Sus scrofa: one gene and its partners. The protein of the gene in region 3 interacts with the protein of the main gene of each other region in a biochemical or structural test. Links are inferred from orthologs where the notes say so. Each region holds a gene or a part of one and is shown on either strand. Other genes may lie near its edges.

Evidence for each region. The genes of interacting proteins can lie anywhere in the genome.
Region 1: of the proteins of XIAP (region 3) and MAP3K2, one has a biochemical effect on the other in vitro, tested with the Homo sapiens proteins (2 studies listed by BioGRID, with this or other methods). The link is inferred for Sus scrofa from reciprocal best matches to the Homo sapiens genes XIAP and MAP3K2.
Region 2: the proteins of XIAP (region 3) and SEPT4 form a complex in vitro, tested with the Homo sapiens proteins (4 studies listed by BioGRID, with this or other methods). The link is inferred for Sus scrofa from reciprocal best matches to the Homo sapiens genes XIAP and SEPTIN4.

What each region holds. Positions count from the first base shown.
Region 1 is NC_010457.5:25,166,893-25,171,780, forward strand, and holds part of MAP3K2 (mitogen-activated protein kinase kinase kinase 2), read left to right. Parts: intron 1-1,104; coding exon 1,105-1,234; intron 1,235-4,888. UniProt on the Homo sapiens protein: Component of a protein kinase signal transduction cascade. Regulates the JNK and ERK5 pathways by phosphorylating and activating MAP2K5 and MAP2K7. Plays a role in caveolae kiss-and-run dynamics.
Region 2 is NC_010454.4:34,773,966-34,778,853, forward strand, and holds part of SEPT4 (septin-4), read right to left. Parts: intron 4,851-4,888; coding exon 4,764-4,850; intron 4,267-4,763; coding exon 4,143-4,266; intron 670-4,142; coding exon 535-669; intron 422-534; coding exon 304-421; intron 215-303; coding exon 113-214; intron 1-112. UniProt on the Homo sapiens protein: Filament-forming cytoskeletal GTPase. Pro-apoptotic protein involved in LGR5-positive intestinal stem cell and Paneth cell expansion in the intestines, via its interaction with XIAP. May also play a role in the regulation of cell fate in the intestine.
Region 3 is NC_010461.5:101,416,718-101,421,605, forward strand, and holds part of XIAP (E3 ubiquitin-protein ligase XIAP), read left to right. Parts: intron 1-1,574; coding exon of another isoform or gene 1,575-1,606; coding exon 1,607-2,480; intron 2,481-3,581; coding exon 3,582-3,681; intron 3,682-4,888.

The DNA of each region.
Region 1 (4,888 bases), on a different chromosome or scaffold from region 3:
GAGTAAGACAAAAGTACTGGAGATTTTTTTAAATATGTTGCAAGGAAGAGAAGATAGAGCTGACGTAGTCATAGAAACAACAGAGTATCAGTCAAAAAATAATAATTTTTGGCCATGCCCATAGTATGTGGAATTTCAGGGATTGAAACCAGGCCACAGCAGTGACAATTCCAGATTCTTAACCCACTGAGCCACCAGGAAGCTCCCAAAAAATAATTTTAAAGGCTTCCTTCAGCTCTACTCTTCTGCAGTTCTAGTCAGGGATTATCGTAGGGTTTTATGTTAAATTAATGCATGTCATTTCTTTACTAAGAGTTCCTGTGCTGTCCAGCTAAAGCCTCCCAGTCATGAACTAGGATTCCCCAAATTAAAATGTCTAATTATAAAATAAATCATGAGAGTGTAACATATACCATAATGAATATAATAAAAAATACTGTAATAAATTTGTACAGAGGTAGGAGGTTATTAGACTCATCATGGTGATAATTGTGTAATGTATTTAAATGTCATATGACTGGTATACACCTGAAACTGACATGACATTGTACGTCAACTAAACTTCAATTAAAAATAAATAAAATAGGGAGTTCCCGTCATGGCTCAGTGGCTAGTGAATCCGACTAGGAGCCATGAGGTTACTGTTCGATCCCTGGCCTTGCTCAGTGGGTTAAGTGTCCGGCATTGCTCTGAGCTGTGGTGTAGGTTGCAGACGCAGCTCGGATCCCGTGTGGCTGTGGCTGTGGCTGTCGCTGGCAGCTACAGCTCCGATTAAACCCCTAGCCAGGAAACCTCCATATTCCACAGGTGCAGCCCTAGAAAAGGCAAAAAGACAAAAATAAGTAAATAAATAAATAAATAAATAAAATAGCTCCTACTGTGGTGTGGTGGGTTAAGGGCCCGGCATTATCTCTGTGGCAGCACAGGTTCAGTCCCCAGCCCGGCACAGTGGGTTACAGATCCAACATTGCCCAGCTGTGGCATAGGTTTATTTAGTCAGTGAGAGTAATAAATAAATAAACACACACAAGTCTTTAAAAATAAAAATTTACTGGTAGTTTTCATTTCAAACCATACTATAGTTTTTTGTTTTCTTTTATCCAGGGTTCAATTAAGGACCAATTAAAAGCATATGGAGCTCTTACTGAGAACGTGACTAGGAAATACACCCGTCAGATTCTGGAGGGTGTCCATTATTTGCACAGTAATATGATTGTTCATAGAGATATAAAAGGTAAGTAATGAACTATTTTTTTAAATGAGCTATTTTTAAAAAAATATACAGCATTCTCTATCTCTTTTTTTAAAATGGCTGCATCCACAGCATATGGAAATTCTTGGGCCAGGGATTATATCTGAGCCACAGCTGTGCCCTACACCACAGCTATGACTACACCAGATACTTAACCCACTGTGCCAGGTTGGGGATCAAATCCATAAAGACAATACTGGATCCTTGAGCTGCTGTAGGGAACTCCAGCAGCTCACTCTCTCTTTTTTTTTTTTTTTTTTTTTTTTTTTTTTTTGCTTTTTCAGTGCTGCACCTGTAGCATATGGGAGTTCTCAGGCTAGGGGTTGAATTGTAGCTGCAGCTGCCAGCCTACACCACAGCCATAGCAATGCGGGATCCAAGCCACGTGTGCAATTGATACCACGGCTCACGGCAGTGCAGGATCCTTAACACACTGAGCAAGGCTAGGGATCAAACTTGTGTCCTCATGGATCCTAGTCGGCTTTGTTAAACTCTGAGCCATGAAGGGAACTCCCTCTTTTTTTTTTTTTTAATGAAACATGGTTAAGAAATTGGACATTTGAATTAATACATCTACCTTTAAAATACTGTAGGAAGACAGTTCCAACTAGTCCTGATGATCAGGGTTCCACAGGAGGGAAACTACCCTGTGGGGTTCACAGGTTTAGTAAAGTTCAAATGATTATAAAAAAAGAGACATGTTTTCATCCAGAGAGCACAGGTATTAGCATATAATGCTTAAGAATAGGGCCCCTGAGGAGCTCCAGCTGTGGCGCAGTGGGATTGGAGGCATCTTGGGAGCTCTGGGTCTGGCACAGTGGGTTAAGGATCTGGCGTTTCTGTAGCTGTGGTTTGGGTCGCAGCTGTGACTCAGACCTGGCCCGAGAGCTCCATATGCCACAGGGCAGCCAAAAATGGGGAGAAAAAAAAAGTAGGGTCTCTGATACCACATAGCCTGGTTTAAATTCAGGCTTTATCTCTCCCTAACTGTGAGACATCTTCTGTGCCTCAGTTCCTCATTTTTAAGGAGGGAAATAACAGTGTACAGCTCAGAGGATTCCTATAAGAATTAAATGAGTTGGAGTTCCTGTTGTGGCTCAGCAGGTTAAGGACTTCTTGACATAGTGTCTGTGATAATGTGGGTTAAATCCCTGGTCTCGCTCAGTGGGTTAAGGATCTGGCCTTGCCGCAGGCTGTGACATAGGTTGCAGATGAGGCTCTGTGGCTGTGTCTGTGGTGTAGGCTGGCAGCTGCAACTCCAATTTAACCCTTAGCCCAGGAATTTCCATATACCGCAGGTACAGCCTTAAAAAAAAAAAAATTAAATGAGTTAATGCATATAGTATGCTTAATACCATGCCTGGTATCTAGAAAGCACTCAAAAGTTAGTTACAATCATGATGTACTTTATGTTGAGAGCATTTTTAAAGCTGTGGGATGGATATCATTACCTAAGGAGAGAATAAAAAGAGAGCCCAAGACTGAGCTTTGATGAATTCCAGCTCAGTTAAGCTCACTTTTTAAAACTCAGCTGTTTTCATGGATCAAACATAAAGTGACTGCATGAAGCAAGACAAAATTGATTGGTAGAGATGTGTGAATTTAAGAGTCTTAAAACTCTGTTCTCCAAAGCATACCGGGAGGCTTCATTCTGTAAAAACCAGGTTGTGACCCAAATGTTATGATTACTTTATTTGGGAGTTCCCATCATGGCGCAGCAATTAAACCCATGAGAACTTGGGTTTGATTCCTGGCCTCGCTCAGTGGGTTAAGGATCTGGCATTGCCGTGAGCTGTGGTGTATGTTGCACATGCAGCTCGGATCCTGTGTTGCTGTGGCGTAGGCTGGCGGCTGCAGCTCCGATTGGAACCCCTGGCCTGGGAACCTCCACATGCCATGGATGTGGCCCTAAAAAGACGAAAAAAAAAAAAAATCACTTTATTCAATCAGTTGTTGAGAATAATGAACAAATACACACACACAATAAATTTAAAACTTCTTTCCATTAGCCTTCCTGGGAACTCTTAGGAGCTATCATGAATTTACTCCCTTTTGGTGGTGTGTCACATCCTGAACAAGGCCATATTCAGGCTAAAGAGAACATTCCCAGCCAGTTTCAGTCATAGAGTAGAAACTGCTGCAGAATGCCTGGGCAAGACCCCATGTATAGTGGAGCTGACCGGTGAGTCTTGGAGATGACCACATCACTCATGATCTGAAAAAAAGAGGAGCCTATCTTTCACCTCAAGATCCACCAATTCTTACCAGTTGTCAAGTATAAAACCCAGTAGTTTAAAGAACCATGTAAGGTGGTGACAATTTTGTAATGTATAGAAATACTGAATCACTGTGTTGTGTACCTGGAACTTACATGGTAAAACAAAGAAAAATACATAGGGAAATGATTTTTATTATGAATTAGTCTGTTAGGAATAATCTTTATTCAAACAGTTACTCCCCAACTGGGTTTTTTCACCTTGCCAGTGTGAGGAGGTTGGAAGCAAGGTGATTTATAAACAGTACAGGGCAAGATATATGATAAAAGTGTAAGATATAAAATTAGATGTGCAGTATGACCTCAAGTATTAAAGTATGGCCTAGGAGAAAAATTTCCACATGATTAACAGTGGTTATTTCCAAGTGGCAGGATTAGTGATAATTACTTTTCTCCTGGATACTTTTTACTTTTTCTGTATTTCCTAACTTTTTATGATGAGCAGTTTTTAAATGGCAAAGGAAAAGGAAAACTAGCTGATCACTTTTGTTTAAACCCATGAGTTCATAATGAAACCTAGGATAAAAATTAATTGATCATTTTTGCTAGGGAGCCTACTCATTATTTCATAATAGGGTCCTTTTACTCTGCTTTTATGAGCTGTACTACTGAGGACTAAATAGTGGATGAAAGGAGACTTATCTTTATAAAAATATCTTAGCTAACAAATGACAGATTAATAGATAGAAACACTGAACATTAACATCTGCTGACATCACAGAGATAGTCTCGCGTTACATACCTCCTATTCATAAACTATAACATCATCTACAAAATAGTTTTGCCGAAAAACAAAAATATCTTGAACCTGAATTTCATCAAGCCTCTAGGTACAGCTACCAAATTGTAGAAATATAGAATATATACATAGAATAGATAAACATGTTAAATTTCCTCTTGGGATGGATTCAGCAAAATCTAGACCATAAGAAAGCTATAGGCAGACAACTTAGATTTTTCATAAATTGCAAAGAAAAACAGGTTGGAGGGAACTATAGATTTGGACTTAAGAGATAGATGTATCAGTGATTCTCAGTGTAAGGACCTTATTTAAGAAAAATGTGAAAAACAGTATATATTTAATAATATTAAGGAGTTATTGTCTATCTTATGTATGATAAGAGTTCTTTTAAAGATATGTACTAAATGATTGATCATATCTTTAATTTGATTCAAATAATATGAGAGGGGAAGAGGAAGTGGCTCCAGTTCAACCCCTGGCCTGGGAACTTGCATATGCTGCAAGTGTGGCCCTGAAGGAAAAAAAAAAACCAACAAGTACCATATAGACAAGAAGATGAAGAATGAAGAATTTTATTGAGAATTTCCCTTGGAAGTACCTGAGGAGATGCTAGGTTCTC
Region 2 (4,888 bases), on a different chromosome or scaffold from region 3:
AGGAAGCCAGGATCCGCTTCCACCCCAATAGCCTACCCTTTAGAGAATTCTACTTCCCTCTTCTGCCCAGAAGAAACAAGCTGGGAAAGGGATGGCCTGGGGGTGGCCCCACCTTTAGGGCTTGGTCCTGTAATTTGAAGTCCTCATCCTCATCAGAGTCACAGTCTGGGAACTGGTAGACCTTGATTCCAAAGTGCTCAATCTCCTCCCGGATCTGGCAAACACATGAGGGGGCCCACAGTTCTGGGGACCCCGTCCGTTCCAGAAGCCCACCTGCTCCCCTCCCCCACCAGCTTCCCTCACTTTGCGTTTCTTGCGCTCCACTTCAGGAGGTGTCAGTGTGTCCGCCTTTGCCAAGATAGGCACGATGTTGACCCGCTGATGCAGGGCCTTCATAAATTCAACATCCAGTGGCCGGAGCCTGGGGAACAGGAATCTGTGACCACCTGCTAGTGGCAGCCCTGCCCCTGGTGCTCTTGGCCTGTTCCCTTGGCAGCACCCGGTGGTGTCAGGAGCCTCAGGCTCGGACCATACCCGTGGCCGAAGGGCGAGATGAAGTACAGGCAGCAGTGCACCCTGTTGTCTTGGATGTTCTTGCGGTTCAGGCCACTTTCATCTCGGAAATACTGCTCAAACTGCTGGTCGATGTATTCTGCCACAGGCTTCCAGCTGGGGCAGGGACAGACAAGCAGAAAAACTGTGGGAGTGGGGGCTGCCTAGTGAGCTCTAGGATTGCAGAGGAGCCCACACCCTGAGCAGTCTTTTCAAGCCTTGGCTATTCCCGGACTTGCTTTACTACATCTTCAGGGAGGTACCTGGCTGGGACATGCATCCTCATAGAAAATCAGACTGAGCACACAGGCAGGGGGTCATCAAATACTAGTCTGATGAGAGGGAGAGAGCCCAGGTGACCAAACAAAGCATTGAGACCAGCCAGGTGCCAGCAGGGAAACACCAACGGGAGGCCAGGGCAGGTTCAAAGTTCAGCCTCAGAGCCTTTGTTTGGGTGGTTCCATCCTCTCCTCCACCTCTCCCAACCCACTCCATCCTTCAGAGCCATATCCAAGAACCATCTCTTCCACAACGGCTCCTGTGACCACTCCAATGGACACTGCTCCCCCTTCCCTTCACCACACACAGAGTTTATATATACACAATATAGGAGTTCCCTTTGTGGCTCAGTGGTAATAAACCCGACTAGTATCCACGAGGACACGGGTTTAATCCCTGACCTCGCCCAGTGGGTTAAGGATCCAGCGTTGCCATGAGCTGTGGTGTAGGTCTCAGACACAGCTCGAATCCCAAGTTGCTGTGGCTGTGGTGTAGGCCAGCAGCTGTAGCTCCAATTCAAGCCCTAGCCTGGGAACTTCCATATGCTGCCGGTGCGGCCCTAAAAAGCAAAAAATAATAACAATAATAATAGTAAGTTCCTGCTGGTTTACTAAATGAGTACATGTGGAGGTGCACTGCAAACCGTGAGGTGCCAGGCAAGTGAAAGCATTACTATTACAGGAGGTAAGAGCAGGTAAGTAGATTGATTCAAGGAGGGCATGATACTTGCTAAAGCAGGAACCAGGGGCTGGTCAGGGCTCAAGTTTCAGGGCAAGCCCAGCTTGCTGAGACATAGTCCTAGATCAGGAAAGGTGATGATGACACGGAGGCCACCTCAATCCAGCAGGAATATTTATGGAGACCACAGTACAGGACTGTGGCAAGAATGTAAGAAACAGATTTCCCCTCAAGGGTTAGATCATGCAGTTGAAGATGAAGCAGTGTGCTGAGCCACAAGTCACATGTTGTAATGGTAAAGCATGTTAGGGGCGTGCAGAGCACAGAAAGGTCTGTAAGGGTATGACCAGTCTGTGAGGCCATCGTCCAGTACAGCGCGTGGGACCCGTGAAGTCACACAGGGGCCCCACCACACCCGGTTTATTCTCTGCTGTGACCATCTTGAAATTCTTAATCATTTTGAACAAGGGTCCCACACTTTTATTTTGCACTCGTCTTGCAAATATCATCTCAAAGTTCATGAGTGTAGGAGTTCCCATTGCGGCTCAGCGGTCATGAACCTTACTAGTATCCATAAGGATGCAGGTTTGATCCCTGGCCTGGCTCAGTGGGTGAAGGATCCGCCATTGCCGTGAGCTGCGGTGTAGGTCACAGATACGGCTCAGATCCTACGTTGCTGTGGTTGTGGTGTAGGCCAGCAGCTGCAGCTCTGATTTGACCCCTAGCCTGGGAACTTCCATATGCCATGAGTGTGGCCCTAAAAAAGCAAAAAAAAAAAAAAAAGTTCATGGGTGTAATGTACGCAGCCCTTTACAGTTTCAGGAGGTTTTTTTTGTTTGTTTGTTTGTTTGTTTTTTTGGCCACGTCTACAGCATATGGAAGTTCCTAGGCCAGGGATCAAACCTGCACTACAGCAGCCACCTGAGCCACTGCAGTGACAATTCTGGATCCTTAACCAGCTACAACACAAGAGAGCTCTGCCCTTTACAGGTTTTTTGGTTTTTTGTTTTTGTTTGTTTGTTTGTTTGTTTGTTTTTGGCTTTTTAAGGCCATGACCACGGCATGTGGAGGTTCCCAGGCTAGGGGTTGAACTGGAGCTGCAGCTGCCAGCCTACGCCACAGCCACAGCCACACCAGATCCTTTAACCCACTGAGCAAGGCCAGAACCTGCATCTTCATGGATACTGGTCAGATTCTTAACCTGCTGAGCCACAATGGGAATCCCACTTTACAGTTTTCAGCACACATTCACATGCATCTTTCTGGGTTGATTTTCAGATCAACTGGGTGAGGTGGTAAGGCCAGAATTTTTCAGTTGAAGAAATGGGACCGTGGTCATTTGCTCAAGATCAGGGGGTTACTAAATACCGAACCAAGATCTGAACTCTCAGTCTAGGACCCTTAGCACCACCCTGCCTAACTTCCTCATCAAAGGCGCCACCTTTTCTCTAGTCTTTACATCCATTTGTGTCTTCATCTACTCACTCAGGTCTGACCACCATCTAAGCATCCTTCTGATTCCCGAAAAAAAGGGATGCTTGGGCAGCAGGTGGCAAAGCTACCTTTTCTACAAGCAGGTTGCTTCCAGGATGCCTGGAACAAACAAACTTCCATCTGTGCTTTCCCTTTGCCTCTTCTGCCCTTCACCACCCCCCATGCATTCTCACTCCTTTAATAACTTGCAATAGCACCTAAAATATTGCTGGTGAAAGGAACGAAGGAGGGAGGGTGACAATTATTGAGCACTTACTAAACATCACGCCCTGTGCTATATGTTTTTTGGTTGTTTTTTTGTTTTGTTTTGTTTTTTGGTTTTTTTTGTCTTTTTGCTATTTCTTTGGGCCGCTCCCGTGGCATATGGAGGTTCCCAGGCTAGGGGTCGAATTGGAGCTGTAGCCGCCAGCCTACGCCAGAGCCACAGCAACGCGGGATCTGAGCCGCGTCTGCAACCTACACCCCAGCTCATGGCAACGCCAGATCGTTAACCCACTGAGCAAGGCCAGGGACCGAACCTGCAACCTCATGGTTCCTAGTCGGATTCATTAACCACTGCGCCACGACAGGAACTCCATATATGTTTTCACATATGTTTGCTGTATTTTTCTTTTTTTTTTTTTTTCTTTTTGCTTTTTAGGGCTGCACCCAGGGCATACAGAAGTTCCCAGGCTAGGCTGGGTGTCACATTGGCACTACAGCTGCCAGCCTACGCCACAGCCACAGCAACGCCAGATCCAAGCCGCGTCTGCGACCTACACCACAGCTCTCGGCAACACTGGATCCTTAACCCAGTGAGTGAGACCAGGGATCAAACCCTCATCCTCATGGATCCTAGTGGGGTTCATTACCACTGAGCCACAACAGGAACGCCTGTGTTTACTTTTGTGAGGTTTCTCCTTCCTATCTGTGTCCCCATCCCCCTTCTGGAATTATAGGTCAGAGTTAAAGGAACACTAGAGAGCATCTCCTCCAATCCTCTCCCTCTCCCTTTACAGAGGAGCAGCTGTCCATAAGCGGCAGTGGCACGTTCGAGGTCGCAAACCCCTTCTTCCTGACAGTGGATGTGTCCGTGCCCCTGTGTGCGTCTACGGGATGGGTGGGGGGTAGGGACAGGGGCTGGGCTTGGTCAGACATACCACTCTGTGTTGTTAACGGCATCCCCAAAACCTGGTGTGTCCACAATGGTGAGCCGCAGCTTCACGCCCTTCTCCTCTATGTCCACTGCATGCTTAGTGATCTCCACCGTTTGCATGATCCGTTCTGGAGAAGGACAAAACTGAGGCCAGGGAAGGGGCAAGGACCTGCCCAGCCAGGACACACCGCCCACTGCAGCCAGCTCTGCTACCCGGACTGTCTCACCCACACTGCCCCCTCCCCGCCCCCAGGCTGCCTGGGGGCCTGTTCTCTGGGAACCAACGAGGAGCACATTTCCCAACACAGGAAATGCCGGTGGCTGTTGGCTCTGGCCCCAGCCTCTTCTCTGCTCCCAGCTCTTTTCTTGGATTCCTGGAATCCTTTGGGGGTCAGAGACTCACTCAGAGAGCAGGATTCTGGTCCCTGCCCTGCTTCAGCACCCAAATCTTTAGGGAGCTGGCTGGTGGGCTGCCAGGCTAGGCAGGCCTACGGAGAGATGCTGTCAGTCTCCCTAGGAAGCCATGGTTTCCTGCATGCTGGGGAAGGCTCCAGCCCCCAGACTCTGGAGTGAGTTCCCAAGTCAGCTCTGCTCGCCTGTCTTCATGCTCCTCTCTTTTCCTCACCTTCAGCACTCAGGAGTTTCCGGTCCCGGTATAGATCAGTGAGGAAGAGGCTGTTGATGAGAGTGGATTTCCCCAGGCCAGACTCTCCTGACAGGAGAGAGAGGACAGAGGCACCAAATCAGATC
Region 3 (4,888 bases):
TAACATCAGAATATAAGACTTTACACATAACCCTATTTTATCTCATTAGCCTGTAAGGCAGCCTTGGCTTCATTGAATCTTGGTTTTTGTCATCTAGTTTATGCTGATTCAACAAAGATCTTGAAACTAGTGTTGGAATGTTTTCAGACATCTGGAAAACAATAACCAAAAGTCATGGAGAGTGTCATCTAAAAATTGTTGTATGAGCTATAAGTCAGCTCTTGAGGTATATTGAATTAATAACATTATAAATTGACAAGTCCAGGAAAGACTGAAGTCCATGCCAGCCTACAAACCAGAAGCTTTGTGTTGAACTTTAATTCCAAGAGAGATGATATTCCCAGACATATTGTGCCAACATAATGCCAAAAGAGCTGCTAATTCTTCCCAAGAAATAAGTTAATATGCATATGAAGTAGAGATGGAGTCATTATGACTGTTCTTTTATTTTGCATTTGACAAGCAGGTATTGAGCACAGTGTCAGGAACAGTGCGAGATTCTGGAGAACCAGGTTTGCTTGGGGCAACCCTGATTTGCACCTCTTGTCCCAGTGTAATTATTAGTAGCATCATTTTTCACTTTCAAAAGCATCCAGGTTTGGAGGATAAATTATCTGGCCACTCTTCTCATAACCCAGCCAGTTCCTTTTAGTATTTTATCTCGGTTAGATATTATACAGCTGTAATTTGGCAGCTCTGATGAGGCTTTCTTCCATTTGAACAGATTGTTCCTTGACTGTGGGCAGTTGATTGCAAAAATAATAGCAATTAAAGGTCTACATGTACTTAATATTTTTCCTGAGCCACCCCCTAGAGGACACTATTATATACATTTGAGATGATCCATTTCCAACAAAAATGGAATCTTTGTTTATGCCTGAAAGTCATAAATATTTGATACTCTTAAAGAACACATTGGAACCAATATTATGAATAAAACTTATCTTTTGCTCATCAGTAAGGAAATATTGAAAATCATTAACATTCTGAACATCCTTTTTTATTGTAAAAACTGAACTTTTATGCCTTGAATATACAATAATCCATTATAACAATTATGCATTGACTTCAAGAATATGCATATTTTATGCTTCTTTTGTGTTTTTCCTAACTGATGGTTTTAATGGTTAATAATTTTAATAAATTCTGTATCATATAGTTTCCATATTTATGTAAAGTAAGCACTTAAATAATTCTACTTGCTTAAATATTACTTTCCTATGAAAGAGAAAACAAGAAGTCTCTTATGGCACATCGGGTTAGGGATTTGGCATTGTCACTGCGGCAGCTCAGGTCACTGCTGTGGCATGGGTTTGATTCCTGGTTGGGGGAACTTCCACACGGCACAGGTGCAGCCAAAAATAAATAAGTAAAAATAAAAAAAATGATAGTTCTTAATTTATGACCTCAATCATGTGGTAATACAGAATTCTAGTATTTATAATTAGAATGTTTCTTAGAGATTGTATGATTACTTTTATGTCATCAGTGGGTAATTTGTTAGCTCCTAATATCAAAAGTGTATTACCTGTGTTTCACATTTTGGATTTCCTAATGTAATGTTCTCTTTTTAGAAAAGGTGGACAAGTCCTATTTTCAAGAGAAGATGACTTTTAACAGTTTTGAAGGATCTAAATCTTGTGTACCTACAGACATCAATAAGGATGAAGAATTTGTAGAAGAGTTTAATAGACTAAAAACTTTTGCTAATTTTCCAAGTAGTAGTCCTGTTTCAGCATCAACGCTAGCACGAGCTGGTTTTCTATATACTGGTGAAGGAGACACAGTGCGGTGCTTTAGTTGTCATGCGGCAGTAGATAGATGGCAATATGGAGACTCAGCAGTTGGAAGACACAGGAAAGTATCCCCAAATTGCAGATTTATCAATGGCTTTTATTTGGAAAATAGTGCTGTGCAACCTACAAATCCTGGTGTCCAAAATGGTCAGTACAAAGCTGAAAACTATCTGGGAAACAGAAATCATTTTGTTTTAGAAAGGCCATCTGAGACTCATGCAGACTATCTTTTGAGAACTGGACAGGTTGTAGACTTATCAGACACCATATACCCGAGGAACCCTGCCATGTGTAGTGAAGAAGCTAGATTAAAGTCGTTTCAGAACTGGCCAGACTATGCTCACTTAACCCCTAGAGAGTTAGCTAGTGCTGGACTCTACTACACAGGTATTGATGATCAGGTGCAGTGCTTTTGTTGTGGCGGGAAACTGAAAAATTGGGAACCATGTGATCGTGCATGGTCAGAACACAGGCGGCACTTTCCTAATTGCTTTTTTGTTTTGGGCCGGAATGTTAATATTCGAAGTGAATCTGATGTGAGTTCTGATAGGAATTTCCCAAATTCGACAAATCTTCCAAGAAATCCAGCCATGGCAGATTATGAAGCACGGATCATTACATTTGGGACGTGGATATATTCAGTTAACAAGGAGCAGCTTGCAAGAGCTGGATTTTATGCTTTAGGTAAACTTTATTATTAAACTGAGCTAATAAATAACTTGCCAACTATCCCAGGGCTCCTAAAAAATAATAGATGCCATTTGCCCACTAAACTATTAAATATTTAGGTGTAGGCTAGTATAGTTATATATATTAGTATTATTCTTTGAACCCTTATGTTGAATCTGTAATATAAGCACTGAATTATATTGTGCACCTTCTCTTTGTGTTGAATATATATGTATCACATGCATTTTCTCTACACCTCACAACAACTCTGTAAGAAGAGTTAATAGAGAATTTACTTTGGCTGATGTTAAAATTGGTATCTGCCTTTTGTACATAGACAGTATATTTGAAAGCTGCCCTGCATGATATCTTATTGCTTACCAGGAGCACTTTTCAAATGGACTACTGTAGACATCTCAGTATGGAAAGAAGGGCCGTTAGTGTGAGGGCTTCCAGGAATATTCAGAAAAAGTATATCAATGTATATCTGACCCATTTACTTTGGGTGCCAAAATACAAAATATCAATTAGTAGTTTATTTACTTAGTATCATATAGCAAATCTTGCAAGTTTGTTTAGTGCCATATTGCTATAACCTTAAAGAAACTTACTTTGTAATTTCATTATACTGAACTTTATTGTTAAAGTTTCAGTTTGAAAAAAAAGTAAGTGTAGGAGTTCCTTTGTGGCACAGCAGATTAAGGATCTTGGCATTGTCACTGCAGTGACCCGGATCACTGCTATGACTTGGATTTGATCCCTGGCCTGGAAATTTCCACATGCCACAGAGCAAGGCCAAAAGAAAAACAAAAATTAAGTGTAGAATTGATGGCCCCAAATGACATGTTAAAACCAATTGTAGTTTTTCACATAAAGATTAGGAAATTTTGTTTTTGTCTTCTGTAAAATACCTCAAATTCAATCAGTGAATTTAATGTGTATTTCCTCCTCAAATGAGCTTATCTGTTACTTAGATGTGAATTCAGATATCTTCTTTTAAGCTCTGAGGTTTTCATGTGATTTAGAAATGCTTAATTTTATAGTATTTAAAGGGGTGTTTTGTGTAAGCTTGTAATTACACAAATACATTTATTTTTTACTTTTATGTTTTCTTAGGTGAAGGTGATAAAGTAAAGTGCTTTCACTGTGGAGGAGGGCTAACAGATTGGAAGCCCAGTGAAGACCCTTGGGAACAGCATGCGAAGTGGTATCCAGGGTAAGGTATTTAAATGTTCATTCAGTGACAGGCAAGTTAGACTGTATGCAGTGAGAAAATTTGAATAACTTTTCACCTCAACTATTTTTGCCTTCACCAGTGGATCAAAATTTGCACCAGGTTTATAAAAATGGGGTCACCTACTTTATATATTTAAAAAAAAATAAAAACCTAAGCTTTCTCTGGTGACCAAAACATTATGTATCATAAATATGACATTCAGATGATTCCTTTTCTTTTTTCTTTTTTTTTTTTTTTTTGTCTTTTGAGGGCCGCACTTGCAGCATATGGGGGTTCCCAGGCTAGGGGTCCAATCGGAGCTACAGCTGCCAACCTACGCCAGAGCCACAGCAATGCCAGATCAGAGCCTCATCTGAAACCTACACCACAGCTCAGGGCAACACCGGATCCTTAACCCCCTGAGCGAGGCCAGGGATTGAACCCACAACCTTATGGTTCCTAGTTGGATTCGCTTCTGCTGCACCACGACAGGAGCTCCAGATGATTCCATTTCTAAACACCAAATTAGGAATGTCTGCTTTTGTTGTTGTAGGAAGTGGGCTCTTTAATGATGGGGACAAGAGAACCCATGTTGCAGAGAACTTATCACACCCCTTTAGCAAATACTGCTGAATCTCACTGATTCTAAGACACATAATTGTTCACAGTTTAAATTTGTAAAATCTGGACACATGTGATGGTGGGTGATAATGTAATTGGCAGTGGTGGTACATCATATAATCATGCTGTTTACAGTTAGTAGCATCTTAAAATGATGACATTCTAAATGTCTCTTTGTCATCTTGCCTCTTTAAAATAAAGTACACACAAAAAAAACCAAAATAAATAAAATAAAGTACACAGATGCGTACAGTGATATGAATTTTTGGCCTGCAAAAGAGTACAACTTGAAATTTCAAAATGGTAACTTGAAAATAAATCTTAACCTTTAGCAACCTTAAAAGGAAAGACTGAAAGCCTAAAAAATTCCTTTAAAATGTACAATTAGTTAATCTAAATAAAACTCAGTAAGATTAATGATTTAAGGAATTCCCTTGTGGCTCAGTAGGTTAAGGATCCAGCGTCGCTGCTGTGGCTCTGGTTACAGCTGTTGTGCAAGTTTGATCCCTGGCCCAGGAACTTCTGCATGCCCCCCCAAAAAAAGATTAACTATTTAAAGCTTCTTTTAAAATATCAAGGTGCTAAT